Linked DNA regions of Callithrix jacchus. The protein of the gene in region 1 interacts with the protein of each later gene in a biochemical or structural test. Links are inferred from orthologs where the notes say so. Each region holds a gene or a part of one and is shown on either strand. Other genes may lie near its edges.

The links.
Region 2: the proteins of TNKS2 (region 1) and LNPEP form a complex in vitro, tested with the Homo sapiens proteins (4 studies listed by BioGRID and IntAct, with this or other methods). The link is inferred for Callithrix jacchus from reciprocal best matches to the Homo sapiens genes TNKS2 and LNPEP.

What each region holds. Positions count from the first base shown.
Region 1 is NC_133513.1:84,571,175-84,580,273, forward strand, and holds the start of TNKS2 (poly [ADP-ribose] polymerase tankyrase-2), read left to right. Parts: upstream 1-3,969; 5' UTR 3,970-4,277; coding exon 4,278-4,476; intron 4,477-9,099. UniProt on the Homo sapiens protein: Poly-ADP-ribosyltransferase involved in various processes such as Wnt signaling pathway, telomere length and vesicle trafficking.
Region 2 is NC_133503.1:113,666,713-113,675,872, forward strand, and holds the start of LNPEP (leucyl-cystinyl aminopeptidase), read right to left. Parts: upstream 5,929-9,160; 5' UTR 5,119-5,928; coding exon 5,100-5,118; intron 4,572-5,099; exon of another isoform or gene 4,406-4,571; intron 1-4,405. UniProt on the Homo sapiens protein: Release of an N-terminal amino acid, cleaves before cysteine, leucine as well as other amino acids. Degrades peptide hormones such as oxytocin, vasopressin and angiotensin III, and plays a role in maintaining homeostasis during pregnancy.

The DNA.
Region 1 (9,099 bases):
AAAATGAGTCATTAAAATTAATACCACAAAAATTCTCATATACCCAATAAATATATACACCTGCAATGTACCCAAAAAATTAAAAATTCAAAGAATTTTTAAAATTAAAAATAGATATTTTGTTGCTAAAAAATGCTAACAGTCATCTGAACCTTCAGCAACTCGTCATCTTTTCGCTGCTGGAGGGTCTTGCCTCAATGACACTGAGGGCTGCTGACTGAATGGTTGCTGAAGGTTGGGGTGGCTATGGCAATTTCTTAAAAGAAAATAAAATGAAGTTTCTCACATCAATTGACTGTTCATTTCACAAAAGATTTCTCTGTAGCATGCAATGCTGTTTGATAGCATTTTACCCACAGAACTTGCAAAATTAGAATCTATTGTGTGTTGAAACTTAATGCAAAACAAACAAACAAAAAAATAGAGCCCACGCTCTCAAGGTCTGCTGCTGCTTTATCACCTATGTTATGTAACATTCTAAATTCTTTGTTGTCATTTCAACAATTTTTACAGCATCTTCACCAGGAGTAGATTCCATGTGAAAAAAAAATTTTTTTTTCTTTCCTCCGTAAGAAGTAACTCATCCATTCAACTTGGTTTTTCTGTTTGTTTGTTTGTTTGTTTGTTTGTTTGTTTTCAGAGACTGGGTCTCTGTCACCCAGGCTGTAGTGGAATGCAGTGACATGATCACAACTCACCTAGGTTTAAACAATTTGCTCAAATTCCTAGGTTTAAGCAATCCTCTCATCTCAGCCTCCCAAGTAGCTAGGACTATAGGTGCACTATAGCTAGGACTATAGGTGCACTCCACCACATCCAGCTAATTTTTTTAATTGTATCTTTTGTACAGATGTATTCTCATTATGTTGACCAGGCTGGTCTCAAACTCCTGGCCTCAAGAAATCCTCCTGCCTCAGCCTCCCAAAGTGCTGGGATTACAGGATTGAGCCACCATACCAGCCTTCATTCAAGTTGTATTATAAAATTGCAACAATTCAGTCACATTTTCAGACTCCCCTCTAGTTCTCTTGCTATTTCCACCACATATGCAATTACTTCTTCCAGTGAAATCCTGAATCTGTCAAAGTCATCCATGAGGGATGGAATCAGCTTCTTCTAAATTCCTATTAATGTTGATATTTTGACCTCCTCCCATGAATCTTAATGGCATCCAGAATGGTGAATCCTTCCAGAAGGTTGTCAATTTACTTCACCCAAGTCCATCAGAAGAATCACTATCTATGGCAGCTGTACCCTTATGTAATGTATTTCTTAAATAATAAGACTTGAAAGTTGACAGTACTCCTTGATTCATGAACCATCTACTCCTTGATCCATCTCTAGAATGGATGTCGTGTTTGTAGGCATGAAAACAACATTGATTTCTTTGTACATCTCCACCAGAGCTCTTGAGAAACCAGGCACAATGTCAATGAGCAGTAGTATTTTGAAAGTCACCTTTTTTGCTGATAAATGGGTCTCAACAGTAGGCTTAAAATATTCAGTAAGTCATGCTATAAACAGATGTGCCATAATCCAAACTTTGTTATTCCATTTATAGAACACAGAATAGATTTATCATAATTCTTAAGGGCCCTAGGCTTTTCAGAATGGTAAATAAGCATTGGCTTCAACTTGAAGTCACCAGCTGCATTAGCCCCTAATAGGAAAGTCAGTCTTTCCTTTGAAGCCAGACACTGATTTCTCCTCTGTAGGTGTGAAAGTTCTAGATGGCAGCATCTTCTTCCAATAGAAGACTTTCATCTATAATGATAATGTATTGTTTAGTGTAGCCACCTTCATCAATTATCTCAGCTAGATCTTCTTGGCAACCTTTTTGGCACCAGGGACAGGTTTTTGTGGAGGATGATTTTTCCATGGACCAGGGGTGGGGGTGGAGGGGCGTGGGGGTGGAGAATGATTTTGGGATGAAACTGTGCCACTTCAGATCATCAGGCATTAGAGTCTCATCCTAGATCCCTCACATGTGCAGTTCACAGTAGGGTTTGCTCTCCTGTGAAAATCTAATGCTGCTGCTGATCTGACAGGAGGAGGAGCTCAAGCAGTAATGCTCACTACCGGCCTATTCCCACTCCATCCCCTCCATCCACCCCCCACCCCACCACTCCCCACCTTCTCTGCTCACCTCCAGCTCTGTGGCCTTGTTCCTTACAGGCCAGGGACCAGTACCTCCCGAGGGCTGAGGTTGGTGACCCATGTTCTGGATAACTTGCTGCAGCTCCTACATCAGCATTTGCTGCTTCACTTTACACTTCTACATTATAAAGACAGCTTCTTTCCTTAAACTTCATGAACCAATCTCTGCCAGCTTCTAACATGCCTCTAGCAACTTCATCTCTCAGCCTTCACAAAATTGAAGAGAGTCAGGGCTTTACTCTGGATTCTGCTTTGGCTTAAGGGAATGTTGTGGCTGGTTTTATCTTCTATCCAGACCACTCAAACGTTCTTCATATCGGCAGTAAGGCTGTTTCACTTTCTTATCCTTTGTGTGTTCACTGGAATAGCACTTTTAATTTTCTTTAAAAAATTTTTTCCTTTGCATTCACAACTTGGCTGTTTGGTGCAAGGGGGCCTATCTCAGCTTTCAACATGCCTTCTGCACTAAGCTGAATAATTTCTAGCTTTTGATTTAAAGTGAGAGATATGCAACTTTCCCTTTCACTTGAATACCTAGAAGCCATTGTAGAGTTATTACCTGACCTAATTTCAATATTGTTGTGTTTCAGGGAACAGAAGACCAAAGGAGAGGGAGATGGCAGAATAGCCTGTCGGTGGGGCAGTCAGAGCACACACAACATTGACTGATTGATTGCTGTCTTCTATGGGTGTGGTTTGGGGTGCCCCAGAACAATTGCAATAGTGTTTTCAAAGATCACTGATCATAGATCACCATAGCAGATTTATGGAAAGAAAAATGATAAATGCAATCATATTGGTAGTGTTCTAGTCCTTAGGTGCGTTCGTGCATATTCACTTTATTGATATCTACCATAACTTCAATTCCATATTTATAAAAATGCTCAAAAAAGTGTACATCCTCTTTTAGCACTGTAGTGAGTCAACACTCCCCAACAAAAACTGGATTTCCTGAAAAACAGGTTAAGGCGGGGGGGGGGGGGGGGCGGTATGTTTTTCAGAATGCCAAAGGTCAACCTGTATCATCTTCTGTAAGTAAAATGTATGTATATGCATAGTTTCCGTTTTTTAAGACAAGGGAGTGTAATGGGGAATCAGCGTATAAAACTACCCCACTACCTTAATCATGAAAATCAATTACGTGCTTTTCTTTGATTTGTTGGCCAAAGAAAAAAATTACAACTCAGAAAACTTTCTTGGAGATGCATATGCCCAGTGTATCCAAACTTCAGGCTTGTCGGGTACAATACTGATTTACATAAAGTTCCTCTAATCAAACCTGAGCTAATAACTTACTAAGGAAAGAGTAATTGATCAGAGCCATCCCCCCAACTGGAGTCAACTTTCATATATGTTCTGATTTCCTTTATTTTGGGGGCAATTCATCCAAACTTCTAATTAAATGGCAACTCGTTCACTTTTGAGAAATGTTTCACAAGAAACAACAACAACAAAGCAGTTGAGGAGGAAAGAAAAGAGACACAGTAAAGAAAAAAAAATGGATGTAGAAGCTGAAAATACGTACAATTTACTTCCAAAAGAATATGCAAGATGGAGCAAAACTTTCAAGGGCTCTTTTTCAGTATAATGGTAGTGAGGAAGTTCAGCTTGAAAAGCCCAGGGCTTAAAAAAATAAACAATATGCAGGACCGTTCAGCTTCAGCAGAACCCACCGCAAAGATGGCGATGGGACGAAGCCCCTTCTGCGAAGCCCGTCACTACATATTTCCCACAAACCCTTCCGCGCAGCCCAGCTCGCGGAAACCTGCACGGCCGATTCCCGGTTACTGCGCACGCGCGGGACAACGTCACGTGCTCTCCCAGGGCTCGGCGGAGCTGGCAGGAGGGACCTTGCCACCTTCCGCGGCCGCGTCGCTTCAGGGCTCGGCCGGCGGATTCGCGCTGCCTCCGCAGCTGCAGGGCAGCTGGGGGAAGGGAGCCGAGCTAAGGGCGCGCGTCGGCGCGGCCATGGGACTGCGCCGGATCCGGTGACAGCAGGGAGCCAACCGGCCCGGGCCCTGAGCGCCTCTCCTCCGGGGGGCCTCGCCCTCCTGCTCGTGGGGCCGGGGCTCCTACTGCCCTTGCTGGCGCTGCTGCTGGCGGCGGCGGCGGCCAGGATCATGTCGGGCCGCCGCTGCGCGGGCGGGGGAGCGGCCTGCGCGAGTGCGGCGGCCGAGGCAATGGAGCCGGCTGCCCGAGAGCTATTCGAGGCGTGCCGCAATGGGGATGTGGAGCGAGTCAAGAGGCTGGTGACGCCGGAGAAGGTGAACAGCCGCGACACGGCGGGCAGGAAATCCACCCCACTGCACTTCGCCGCAGGTAACCCGGGCCAGCGCCCCCTCGCCTCGCTCTAGACCCCACCTGCGCATCCGGGGCTCGTAGGCCTGAAACCAGTGCTCCTCCACTCCTCGACCTGTCCCCTAAGGACTGTGGTCCTGGTGATCTCCCTCTCTTCCAGTGGGGACTGGGGAGATTGGGGGGTTGGGTGAGCGTGCCACACTCACTGGAAGTTTTTGGTTTGTTTTATTTTGTTTTTGCCGAGGGTGGAGGGTGGTTTGGGGTTTTGGCTTTGTTTTGTTGCTACAATACCTGTACCAACTTCCGGTCTTGTTACCCTAGAAGGCGTCTACACACAAGAAAGAGTAGGGGACTTTAGTAAATAGACCTATGATTTAAACGATCAGTTACCTCCAAAATTTTTCATTCTGGCAAGTTCCATTTGGATTAAGGTCTTGAAGGACTTTGTAAAATGCAAGGATGTAATTTCGGAGGAGTAGTTTAATAGGCCATTGACACATTAGCGTTAATTGATTTATCAGAATAGCCAATCAGCAAGTTTCTGGAGTGACTACAACTGGAAATAGGCAAGTTTGGGAGAACTGAAATCTGACTAGGCTGGGTGCGGGAAGTCTTTGACACACACACACAAGTTGAGGTGGAAAGTAGTAGTATAGTAGAAAAGATGGTGCAAGTACTTTAGCTTGGATCTAGAATATAAGCTGAAACTAACCTTGCTTCATTTTGAGAATTAGATCGTTTGAATTACTTTCTTTTAATATTTATTAGGTTCACTTTATGATGTAAGCATATTAAATTTAGTCGAAGAATTTAAAAGAACCAGAGATGGGATAGTCAGCTTATTCCCATAAAGCATACATATTTTTCACTTGTAGAAAAGATCATGACAGTTTCTAACTTCAGGTGAGCCATGTGTGATTGAAAATCGGAGTACCTCCTCTTACCTCCGACCATCCTGGTTTTTTGTTTTGTGTATTTCATGATTGTTAAAAACAATTTTTTTGAAAAAGCAGGGAATACCTTTTAAAGTGTTTCTGTTCTTTTGGGGCTAGATTGATGAAGAGAAAAGGAGCAGTGAGGAAGATTTCCTCTTTCACAAACATTACTTTTACACTTTCTACCAATTGGAGTTTTGTTCGGTTTACCCTGTTCCGGGTTTTAAATGTAAACACTACCAGGAGGTATGCTTTTTTGATCAATTGCATCTTTATTGGAATTTCTACTGGGGAGTCTTTTTAAGAAAAGAAAGTCTAGGGAACCTAGTCGGAGAACTAGAAACAGTTTCTGGGCAATAGAAAGAGAAGGAAGAATACTTAAGTCAAATCACACCTAGTTAGCCGAAATTTTACCCAAAATCTTGATGGTAAGTGCTGCTGTTCTTCAGCCAATTCAGATTGTCCTGTTTGACCATGTAGTTAGTCAACATTTAAACAACTGATTTGGCAAACTATCACCACCAACTGATACATAAGCCAAAGGGTAGGGTTACTTAAAGTCTGTTCATTTGATCTGTGGGATAAAAATAGCCAAGAAAGATCTTAGTTGCTACCTTTCAAGAATTTGGTATATTAATGAGTTCATATCTGAAAATAGTAATATTTAGAGGTGTAAGGTTATGGGTATTAGCTCAGTGACCTTGTTCCTTCTCTAACTTCCTACCCTCAGTTCTGTTCCAACATTTCAGAGCATTTTTTTACATAGATTTCATTTTGTTTGTTCAAGTTGAAATGGAAGACTTAATATTTTGGAAACCACCCACCCCTCACAACTTACCCAAATTATCAGGTGTAGGTTATAAGATTAATAGTTACAGGTATGAAAGGGGAATAATAAAAATTAACAGGGGTGGGGGGCGGGGAATCTTCATTCAACCAGAACTTGTAAAGTCCTGTACTTAAATCCAGGCATATAAGAAACTTTTTAAAAAATTGTCTTTGTAAATTTAATCTAAATTTTAGGTTTATCAGAGAGAAGTTTTTTAAGTGCATCCAACTAACTTTTCACTCAATATGTGGAGAATACACTGTGTAATCTCTTGTAGGTAGGTAGTGAGTTATCTGTCATCTTAATGTGCCTGCAAGCATGCTGTTGGAAGTTCAACATAGGTGGTAGTATTATATAACTGCCTGACCAAGCAGTTTCCTGTGTTTGTACATCAATCATAGGGTGAGCTATTGGAGAGGCTGGGGGACATTATTATTTTAAAAAATTTTTTAGCTGATTAAAGTTTGGAGGTTTTATTGGGGGAAGGCATGTTTTTGTCGTTTTGTTTTGATTCCCAAGTAATATTAGGACTGAGAGGTGCACACAGACCACAAAAAATGAAAATCAGTTTAGAAAAAATTTGGTTTAATTTCATCCTCAAAAAAGTTAGTTCAATTAGAAAAATAATCAGTTGCCAGCACCAAGACAATTAAGTTCTGTTAATGAAAAAGATAGTCAACATGAACAGAAATTTTCTACTCCTAGGTGTTTTTTTTTTATTATTGAACTAGATTGCATGCTTTTCTTCTAGATAAATATTAAAGAAGTAATTTCTTAGGAGAAAAATGACTGAAAATTGTTTCCTTTTCAGTCTGCCTGCCACTTGCCCCCCACCATACACAGACATACATACACAAGATAGGAATGATTTTTTGGCAGCACATAATAGAACTTGTAGAGGCAAGTTGGTGGTAGTAGGGTAGGTGTTGTTCTAATTTTACTAAAAGCAAAAGTATCTGGGATTCTTAACAAGTTAATGCCCTAGAAAACAGCAAATTTCAGTAAAGAAGACTGCTTCTCTGAACTTACTTCTAAAAAGTAAAGAAGTGACACAAACTTGGGGAGAAAGTCATCTTTATGCCCATCATAGAAATGAAAAAAATATGTGGCATTCCTTACAATCTTAGAACTCTTGGAGCAGGATAGGAGCTTGCATTGTAGAGTCCTACTAAACAAGGTAACACTTGTTTTATATTTATAGTATGTTATGTTACTGTTAGTATGAGTATGCTACTGAACCATATACATTGGACCAGTTAGACCGAACTTGGATTATTATATTCAAGTCTGTGAATCAAGTATAAGGGATTTTTTTTTTTTATCCAGAGGAGGAAAGTAGAATCAGAGCATCTGAAATTTATTGCACAAGCATAGATAGGAAAATTTGTGCTGCTTATTCTAGAGATGGAAGAAGACTACACCATGTTACTGTCTTCACATGTGGAAGAATCACAAAGAGTACGTAGATATTACTTGTCAAAACTAAGGCCAATAGGTGAAAGGTTAGAAGGGGTCAGACAGCCTTTAACAATATTCAGCCATTGAACTGGCTGAAGTATCCAAGCAGTGGCTCTATTGGCTTTTTTCAGAGATGTTGTACAGAGGATTTCAGCCTAGTTCAGCGAACAGGTTGGTACAAGAAAGTGGGAAGATTTCCCTCCAATTGAAGGTTTTAGCTGCTCAACTACCAAAGATATACTATTTTTTGTGATTGCCATTCATATCCTTTCCCAAAATGATAACTATTGGAGACCTCCAATAACCTTTCTTTGGCTGTAGGTCAACATCATAGTTGTAAGAGATGCACAAAATTTACTCAACCTAGAACTACAATTATAGATTGTTGTTTTCAGGATTGGTTTTTGCTATGGAATGTAATTAAATCATATATGTATCAGCAGGAAACCCTAGTATCAAATAAAGATTAGTCTGTTTAGGAATTCATAATCTTTCTTTACTTATCAAATCTCCCAATCTATTTTAAGATTTTGAGGTATACCTTTTCCCTCAGCTCTTGCTGAATTTAGAGGTAGACAGTTGGCTTCAGTAACAAGAGTTTGGAATACTCCTTTCAGTATTCTCCGGACAGTATATCTATCCCAAGTAGAGATGGGCAAAACCCTCTCCTTTGTATTCTTCATTCTTAAGAAACATATGTGGGAAATAATTTTGCTGGATCTTAGGAAACTAAAGTTAATAGTAAATGAGGCCCAGGCACGGTGCCACACACTATAATTCTAGGACTCTGGGAGGCAAAGGCAGGAGTATCACCTGAACTCAAAAGTTCAAGACCAGCCTGGGCAACATGGTGAAACCTCATCTCTACAAAAGAAAGAAAGAAAAAGAAAGAAAAATGAATGAGCTGGGCATGGTGGCACAGGCCTGACACTCTGGGAGGCAGAGGCAGGAGTATCACTTGAACTCAAGAATTCAAGAGCAGCCTGGGCCACATGGTGAAACTTTGTCTCTACAAAAAAAAAAATAGAAAAATTAGCCAGGCATGGTCTATAGTCCTAGCTACTTGGGAGGCTACAGATGGAGGATTACTTGAGCCAGGGAGATCAAGGCTGCAGTGAGCCGAGATTGTGCCATTGCACTCTAACCTGGGCAACAGAGGGAAACCTTGTAATATAAAATAGTAAATGAGAAGTTTAAAATGAAATTCCTCAGAAAAAATCTGTCACTAAGCATCCTGGCTAAAGGTTGCTTTAAAGCTGTTTGATTATACCTTCCAGCCTCCCAGACCACAGGAGCTTTCTTTTGTGGCATTTGTTGACATTTTTCCAGAACTTTGCCTTTGGACAAAACCCTGTGTGATAGCCTACCTTTAGATATTGCAAAACATCACCATCTCGTATGGGACCAGTTGTATTATCAGTT
Region 2 (9,160 bases), on another chromosome or scaffold:
CATCTCTATTTACAGTCACTTCCCATAGCATTACCACCTGAGCTCCACCTCCTGTCAGATCAGTGGTGGCGTAAGAATTCTCATAGCAGCGTGAACCCTACTGTGAACTGCACATGCAAGGGATCTAGGTTGAGCGCTCCTTATGAGAATCGAATGCCTAGTGATCTGTCACTGTCTCCCATCACCCCCAGACTAGACTGCCTAGTTGCATGAAAACAAGCTCAGGACTCCCACTGATTCTACATTAAGGTGAGTTGTATGATTATTTCATTATATATTACAATGTAACAATAATCAAAATAAAGTGCACAATAAATGTAACACATGTGAGTCTTCCCGAAACCTTCTTCCCTTTAGAATATATCACAAACTAGAAAGTATACATACCCCCGACCCTGGTCAGTGGAAAAACAGTCTTCCATGAAACTGGTCTCTGGTCCCAAAAAGGTTGGGGACCGCTGCCCTACAGTTTTCAAGATATGAAGTAACTAATTGGCAAAACATAGCTGCACTGACCTCACCTGAACTGCCAAGAACCACAGGCCACATCTAGGTCCATCCCAACGTCTGGAGTAATCTTGGCTAAATTCTTCCACATCTCAAGTTTCTAATGTTTTCATGGAGTGGGTTAACACTGCTGTTTCCTAGTGGGACTATTACACTAAATTAGTAAACATGTGAGCCTATGGTAACAGAAGTTATACAGTTATGAACAAGTTTCTGTACATTTATTTCATAATTAAAATACTGTCTTAGACAAAGCTTTATTGCGCTTTTCTTCTGTGTGTCCATATTTTCATATTAGCATGAAAACAAAACTAGGTTCTTCAATTCATTTCTCTTATTTAGGTACGCATTATCTGATGACAAGTTTGTATTTTTTTTTAAATGTAACTGTGCCTAGCAGAAAATCTACTTGTGAGTAGACATTTAAAAGATGGGTGTACGACTGAATTACTGAGCAGAAAATTACCCCTTACTTATTTTCTATACAATTTCCTTACAACCAATCTTTTTGGTTATATATCTTTCAGGCTATATGATAAATATAATATAAACAGGTAAATGATAATCACTGGTTATAAGAGTTTCTAAAATATGCTGTTTTCATGCATGTATCAAGACACTCTTTGGAAACTGGTAATAGCAAAGAACTTTTCTACTACTAGTTTCCAGTTAAAAACTGGGCTGTTTCTAGCTACAGCTTTAACCCTAGATTATTAGTGATGCTAACACTTGATTCCAAATAGTCTTCTTTTCCCCAAATAAAAAAAACTTAGATAAAAACAGGTTTTAATTTATATTTCATCACACAGAGAAATTACAAGTTCCAATTTCTTAAGGGTTTTCTTTCAATGTGGAAATTTACCTTAGAGCAAGAGAAAAATAAAAACAATACGTGGTATGCTCACATTTTTGAGAAGTAATGCTAAAAAGTTTTTTAAGAAAGACATGCATACCTATAGAGCAATTGTCATGTGTAAGATTAAAAGATGGAATCACAATTTTATACTGTGTTACAAGCCACAAATATCTCATTTGTTGTCCAGACTTCCCTTTTTGGAAGTTGAAAAATACTTTCAATTGGATACCAATCTGAAAATGAAAACAAAAATAACTTTTTAAGACAGTTAAGTCCTCCTTGTTTGATTATGCACCACGCTGTGGTAATAAAGTGATTCATGGGACCTATGTTCATATTAAAAAAACAAAAAACTTTAAATTATGTTTTCGGTTCTGTGACCTCAAAATACCAACCACTAGATTTACTTTAGAATATATCACAAACTAGAAAGTATATATACTTTGGGCTGGGCACAGTGACTCATGCCCATAATCCCAGCACTTTGGGAGGCTAGGGTGGTCAGATCACTTGAGGCCAGGAGTTTGAGACCAGCCTGGCCAACATGGTGAAAACTCTGTCTCTACTAGAAATACAAAAATTAGCTGGGCATGGTAGTGTGTGTCTGTAATCCCAGCTACCTGGGAGATTGAGGCAGGAGGATTGCTTGAACCGGGAGGCGGAGATTAGAGTGAGCCGAGATCATGCCACCGCACTCCAGTCTGGGCAACACAGTGAGGCTGTGTCTCAAAAAGAAAGAAAGAAAGTATACATAATTTCTAGTATATATTCCATGTATACTCAGACCTCTTCAATCAGATTCTGAGGGTGAACCTTGGCATTTGCATTTATTAACATGAATTTAAGATTTTCCGAAATATACCAACCCTGCATACAAATGATGACAAAAAAGCTGGATAAACATCAAATAATTTACCTTAATCTAATACCTCTATCAAAAAACATAGTTGCCTTCAATTTTTGTTTGTTTGTTTTTTAATATACAAATCACTATTACCTAACAGTTTACCTCCACCTGCCTAACAAGACATAGTCATTATTGCCAAAACAATCTTAAGTACTGGTCCAGCATATCTCTCATCATAAAAAAGCCACCAAAGATCCAAACTCAGACCAGATGTCCAGACTTCAACATAATAGCAATTTTTCCCAAGGACAAAGCCAAAAATCGATCCTGACCTAAATGGGAATTCCTAGCACTAAGATCCATCCTTATAAGCCCTTTCTGGGGATATGCATTTTAAGTGGATTGTAGAAGTATGTTCCCTGAACAGGTTAACATAGGATATTCATCAAAAGAATCAATTATCAACAGGTAGAGAGTGAGCAGGGCCCAACAAAAATAGGTCATACCAGTAGCAACTTTGGACAGAAAACAGATGAGTGTTGAAGGTCAGAGGGACAAGATATAAACTACATTCACTTTCTTTACAAATGTATCAGTCAGTAGGTGGAACCACTAACAAGATTTTAACTAAAAGATATGCAGTCCTAAATTACTGAAACTGTTTTTTGTTAAGCTCCCACACCTCTCTACATATACAGGGATACATGAGAAAGCGTTAAGTGAGAAAAATTCCATTAAAAGAGGATGAACGTGTAACAAAATCCAATACCAGGCTTGAAAAATCTTGCAATCATAAATTCTGTGGATAATGAAATACTCTGCATCGTCACACCCAGACCAATAAGAGCATTATATATGCATATTTTTTGTACTCAGAAGGATGAAGTATGTAACTGTCTACTGTACCACGTCGTTTGAAAACACTAGAAAATTCTACAATTCTTCAAGTTTTCAAATAAATACCCTGTCCATCTTAAACTTGAAATGCACTTCAAATTGCTAACATCGAATTTATTGTTGACTGTAGATGTTGTCACTTCTATTTTCCTTGTAAAAGGATGCTAAATAAGGTTCCAAAGAATGATTGCTACGTTAACCAAAATTATGCACTGCCAAGCTGTCTCCAGCATCAACTCTGAAAGACAGATAGGAAAGAATCAAAAATACAGTTTCCTACATGAAAGTCGAAGCATTGCTTCTTTCTTTGTTCTCTTCTGTGGGATTTTTCCATTGTCCTCCCAAATGTGACAATTTGCAAATACCCATATCTAGAAGCATATTCTATGAGAGAAAAGACCCCAGTTTTGAAACTCGAAAAAGTGCTTTAATAATTGTAAGCAAAGGTTCAGCAAATCAGCTAGCACTAATCTTGACCAAATGGGTGAGTCAGCCTTGTCACAGAGATATTTAACATTTAAAATCCTACAAACATGGTAACTCCAAGCATTCTACCAAGAACAAAGAATAAACCCTTGAATAATCACTTGTAAGGACTAACAACTTGTATTTAACATATTTTACACTGAAGTACTAGATGGTCTCTATAGTTCCTTTTAGCTCAAACCTTCCTTAATTTTTCGAGTAACTTCACCAGACTATTCTTTGAGTCTTAGTAATTACAAATAGGACCTGAATGAGAAAGAAAATTCAGAATTAAAGTTCTTATCAGTAAGCCTAATTAAACAGTACAGACAGAAAGATGGCAGTAGAATAAAGCATTCTACATTAGGAGAAGGGAGAATATAATCAGTAGTTCGCAGCCCCATCAATGAAGCGCAGCATACAACAAAGTCTGGCTGGGATTTGGGATATAATGGACAATATCTGTCTGCCCTTGGGTGGCAACTAACATACCTATACAGTGATAGACAGTGGAGCCTTTGAAAGCGATACTCCACCTGAAGTAACCAACCACCCTCAGGAAAACATGTCAAACCAGAGAGTGAATCCTCTAATTTTAGTGAGTTGTTTCCCTTACTGGCAGTTTTCCTACTTTCTATCTTAAAAGGAAATCCACACACTCAGCGCCGCAAAATGGTAAAACATCTCACCCCTATATTGTGACTCTGGCACCTGTGGTCAGAACAAAAGCTATCGTTTTAACTAGGGTAGGATTTATGCTCCCGGTTCAGTAAAGGGCAGTGGCTACCGGCAGGGTGCAGGCAGGCTCCCTGCGTTGACTCTCGCTTCCTGTCACACTGTGGTTATCACCGTGACGGACCCTTGACATTAACAAGTCTTCGACTGAATAACTGATGGGACCTGCAGCCGGTGAGGGGGAAGCATGGTGGCCCTGCGGAGTGCCTTGGCGGGGCCAGGAGGATGGCACTGCGGTCAGGCATCTCTGAGGCCCCGAGTCGGGTGAGCGAGCCTTTCTTGAAGTTTCCCTTCCTTCCACAACAAGCCTCCCACCCTCTCCCCCACCCCCGCCCTGGTAGGAAAAGTCACACCGGCAGCTCACTGAAGGGCAGTGGGACAGCTCCGGGCGCCCCACAAAAGTTGGGTTGGGCAGCGGCCACAGCTTAACGCTCCTGCAGGAGTCGGGCCGACACCGCTTCCTCCCGGGGCAAACCTGAACTGCCAACTTTCCCGATGCCCACTCCTCTGCGCGCAGCAGCCCAAACTTTGAGGTTCGCCCACCGGCCGCACCCCGGGCTTGCGGCGGCGGCGCTGACCTTCACGCGAGCCCGGGGCCCAGCAAAGGCCGCCGCCCGCCCCCCCAAGTCCCATTTCCCTGCCTCCCCAAGATCCCATCTCCCTGCCTCCCCCAGCCCTCGTGGTAAGCCGGCGGGGGGAAGATGGCTGCAGCCCGACTCCGCGTGTCACGACTGCCCACGGCCCTCGGGGCTCTAGAGAGCCCGTGTCCAGGTGCCTCGGCCGCCCACTCACCATTGGTGAAGGGCTCCATTTTACCCCCGCCGCGGCTCCTCACAGCCCGAGCGCCCGAGCTTCCTACTCCGAGAGCTGAGGCGGCCCTGCCGACTGAGCATGCCCAGCGCGGCCTCGGAGGGCTGCCGGGGAGGTGCCGCGAGGGGCGTCGCCGCTCCACTGCTCGATGGTTCCGCCGTTCCGGGTTTTCGCGGCGGCTGCAGAAAGAGCTAGGAAGCTAGAGGGAAAAGCACAGTCCGACCCCCGGAGGCTCCGCGGAAGGGCCAGGAAGGAGCGGGGTTCGCGTTGGGGGCGGGGCCTGGGGCGGGACCCGGAAAGTCCCGCCCCTACCTGAAGCGGCCCTGGCTGCGGCGCCCTCCCGGGAGGGGAACCAAGTTCAGTCACTCAACAAATGCGGGGCCCTACTGCGACCCGCCCGATCCTGGACTCCGAGCCACGTGCACTGCGCCGGAAAAACAGGGTCCCAGTCCCAGGAACGGTCATTCCAGAAACAGATCATAAATAAACACAGAAGACACACCAGTGTAAAGTCAATGCCCTGCTGCGCATTAAATCGAGTGATGTGATGCCCAGTGAGTGGGTAGCTAATTCGGATGGCGTGGTGAGGAGATGCCTCGCTGAGCAGGTGCCACTGAAGCCGAGGTCTGAAGGCAGAGCAGGAACCTGCGGGCGAAGGTCGCTATCCAAACTGCGAATCGCCGGTTTCCTTGGGGAGATTAGCCGCGGAGGGATCACTTCTCCAAGGACGGAGGGAGCGGGCGCTGTAGATATTTTCTGCAGAGATGTCCGCCCGCAACCGACTGTCCCTTGCGGGTGGTGGGGAGGAGACGGAAGAGAAGGCGGGGACCCTGCTGGGCCGAGGGCGCCCAGGAGTCCAGTCCCCCGACTCGCGGCTGCGGGCGCGGCCTCTAGGTGCGGGCGGATGACAAAACCCGGCGCCGGATCGTCCTGCCAGGGCCGCGGACGCAGCAGGATGTGGGCAGAAGGCCCGCCTGTTCCGAGCCTTAAATCAACACCTGCGGTTCCCGGGGTGACACCGCTGGGGCCCGCAGCGAGGCTCCGCGGTGCTAGGCCCGAGAAACCGAAACTTCCCTAGTCACCTCTGCTCCCTGGCACTCTCGCCATTGCCTCTAGCCCCAAGCCACCATTGTTAACAGTGCCAAATCGGACAGCCCCTGTAACCTCCGGGGCCGAACCGCCAAGGGCCCCGCGAACCCCGAGAAGGCTGGTCGGGGCCCGCTTCCTTTTCCCCCTTTCGGTGTGCGCATAGCCACCACCCTCGCCGCAGAGGCCACCGCCCTCCGAGCACGCCACCACCGCCTCCTCTGCCTCTTCCCATCCCTCAGCCCCGGCCCCTGCAGCGACTTGGCTCGAGCTGCACCTCACTGCGCCTGCCAACTGTCACACGCTCCGAGGCTGTCAACAGGGTGCCAGGGACAAACAAGCCGCGGCGAGCGCAAACAGCCTGAGCAAAGAGGGACGGTCAGGGTGTTGTTTGACCAGCACTAAGTCAAAGTGCAATACTGTATTTTAAACTGTCTATTGTATTACATCCCCCACAATACGCGCCTACTTGAAACTTCCAGCGGATACCAGCTACACTTAGAATAAAAATGAAACTCCTTGCCCAACTCTGGGTCCGCATCAGCACATGCTTACCATGTTTTGGCCACAGAGGCCTTCATGTTGTTCTTGGAAGTCGCCAAGTTCCATCCATCATTGTTAATCATACCTTTTGCACGCTCCTCGCACAACTGTTTCTTCTGCTTAGTGCTTTGCCTACTGATTCCATCTTGTCATTTATGTCTCGGCTCAAATGTCACCTCTGCAAAGAACCCTTCTCTGACTATACATGTAAAATAGCCACAAACACGGTCTGCACTATAAAGCCTTGGCTTTGCTTTATTTCCTTCTCAGCACTCACACTGTCTGAAACAATGTTTTGAATTTGTTGTTTATTATCAGCCTCCCTCTCAAGAATGCAAGCTCTGTGAGAGCAGAGTCTTTATCTTTTTTAAGGCTGTATCACCAACGCCTGGGTAAGTATACAGTAAATAATTTTTGCATGAATAAGTGAATGGACGTAGTGGTGTTGAGAGTTTTTAAGTTCACTTCCACTGCTGCAAACCCTTTCAGTTAATGACTCCATACTGAATGATGTGTTTGATCAGTACAGAAAAGGTGTCTGTATCATATGATACCTCAGAGCTGCTATCTCCCTAATGTGTAAGGTAATCAGAGCCCTTAGACTGGCCCCTTGTACTGGCATTTCAGAACCAAAAATAGTGAACCATAGGGGCTGATATATCCCAGTTCAGAAATTATATAGTATATGCAGGGCTAGATTTTGTTAACATACTTCACACATTGTATTGCTTAAATAACACTCTTCTCTCTATATTTTAGGTCATGTCATGTTCCCTTGGAGTTACTTTTGCAACCAAAGCATTTAGTATAGGAGATATTTAAAACACTGCAGCTTGTTAAATTGCCTCACCTCACCTCACCTGTAAAGGGTCGTATCATGCTTTTGAGTGTGAAACATGTTACCTAGTGTTCTGTTTTAAATACCCCAACTCTGCAGACTTTTGTGGTAAAAATGCACTAGCAACTATAGGTGGATCATTATGGTCTTTTTGAAATTTTTTTAACAAAGAGACAAATAATTTCTTTGCCTACCTCTTGTCTCCCACCCCTTCCATTCCTTCACACCCACAAGACATAAAGGACCCTTTACAGACATGTAAAAATACAAAAAAATAAAATTAGCCAGACGTGGTGGTACACACTTATAATCCCAGCTCTTCGGGAGGCTGAGGCATGAGAAGCTGAGGCATGAGAATGGCTTGAACCCCAGAGGAAGAGGTTGCAATGAGCTGAGATAACACCACTGCACTCCAGTCTGGACAACAGAGCAAGACTCCATCTCAAAACAAAACAACAGAAAAAAGACATGGTTTTGTATCGGAAGTAAGAATAGTAAACCAAAACGTCAAAATATTTCAGAATGCTACCTAGGAGCCAAAGAATAATAATAAAGTTTGTTTTGCCTCGTTGGAAACTGCTTTACATTTGACTTCATAGAGCCTAATTTCACAACCAAAACCCATTATGTTTTTATCTTTAACACCTGCCTATCCTCCCACACAGAACTTCCTCTTTAGTTTAAGAATATGACACTTTAAATTATTATGAAGTTACTATTCATTATCAAATGAAATAATGTGACATTGTCTGCTATATCCATCTACTGTCTTCAGAATCATCGTGGTCTACTATTCAACATTTGAAAACCAATAAATTGGAGAGTTAATTATAATACATAATAAATAGCATGACAGGAAAAAATATAAGCACCCTGAAAAAAAATTGCATTTGTTTATAAAGAACTGACAAACTTGATAATCAATGAATATAAGAATATTTTTATCAAAATAAAACACTTGGTGAAACATAGATCAGCAAATCTGAGCCTCACATTTAACAGATGAGGAGGGAACTACTGTCTAGAGAGGGTAGAATATTTACTCACTATCCAGGAGCAGGCATGGACCAGAACTCGGACCATCTGTGTTCTAAATCCATGTGTCAGAGTTTTCTGTTGCCTCCCAATTTCCACAAGCAAATTGGAGTCAATGACAACAATTCAGCAAAGGGATATGGCATAGATGGAAATATAGCTAATTTCAGCTATTAGAAGTTTATTCCATTAATTGTTTAATAAAATATTCCGACTTAATTAGTTGATATATTCCATAGGGAATTTGGATTCAGCCCTACTAAATGATCTAATTATTTTGAAATAAGCAGCAACAGTAATTCAGTGAACACCTTTGAAAATGTTATTTGTTCAGCAGTCTTGAATAAATGGAAGCTGCTTCCTGCCAGGACAAATCTGACCCTCATAAGATTTCCAGCCATCCGAAGGACTGAAGGACTCAATATCTCATTGCCTTTGTAACCCATCTGCAGCACACATACACTGCATTAATTAGTAATGTTTGAAGTTAAATCAAGAAAAGTTTAGAGCACAGAATAATAATTATCTAATAAAGTTCTTG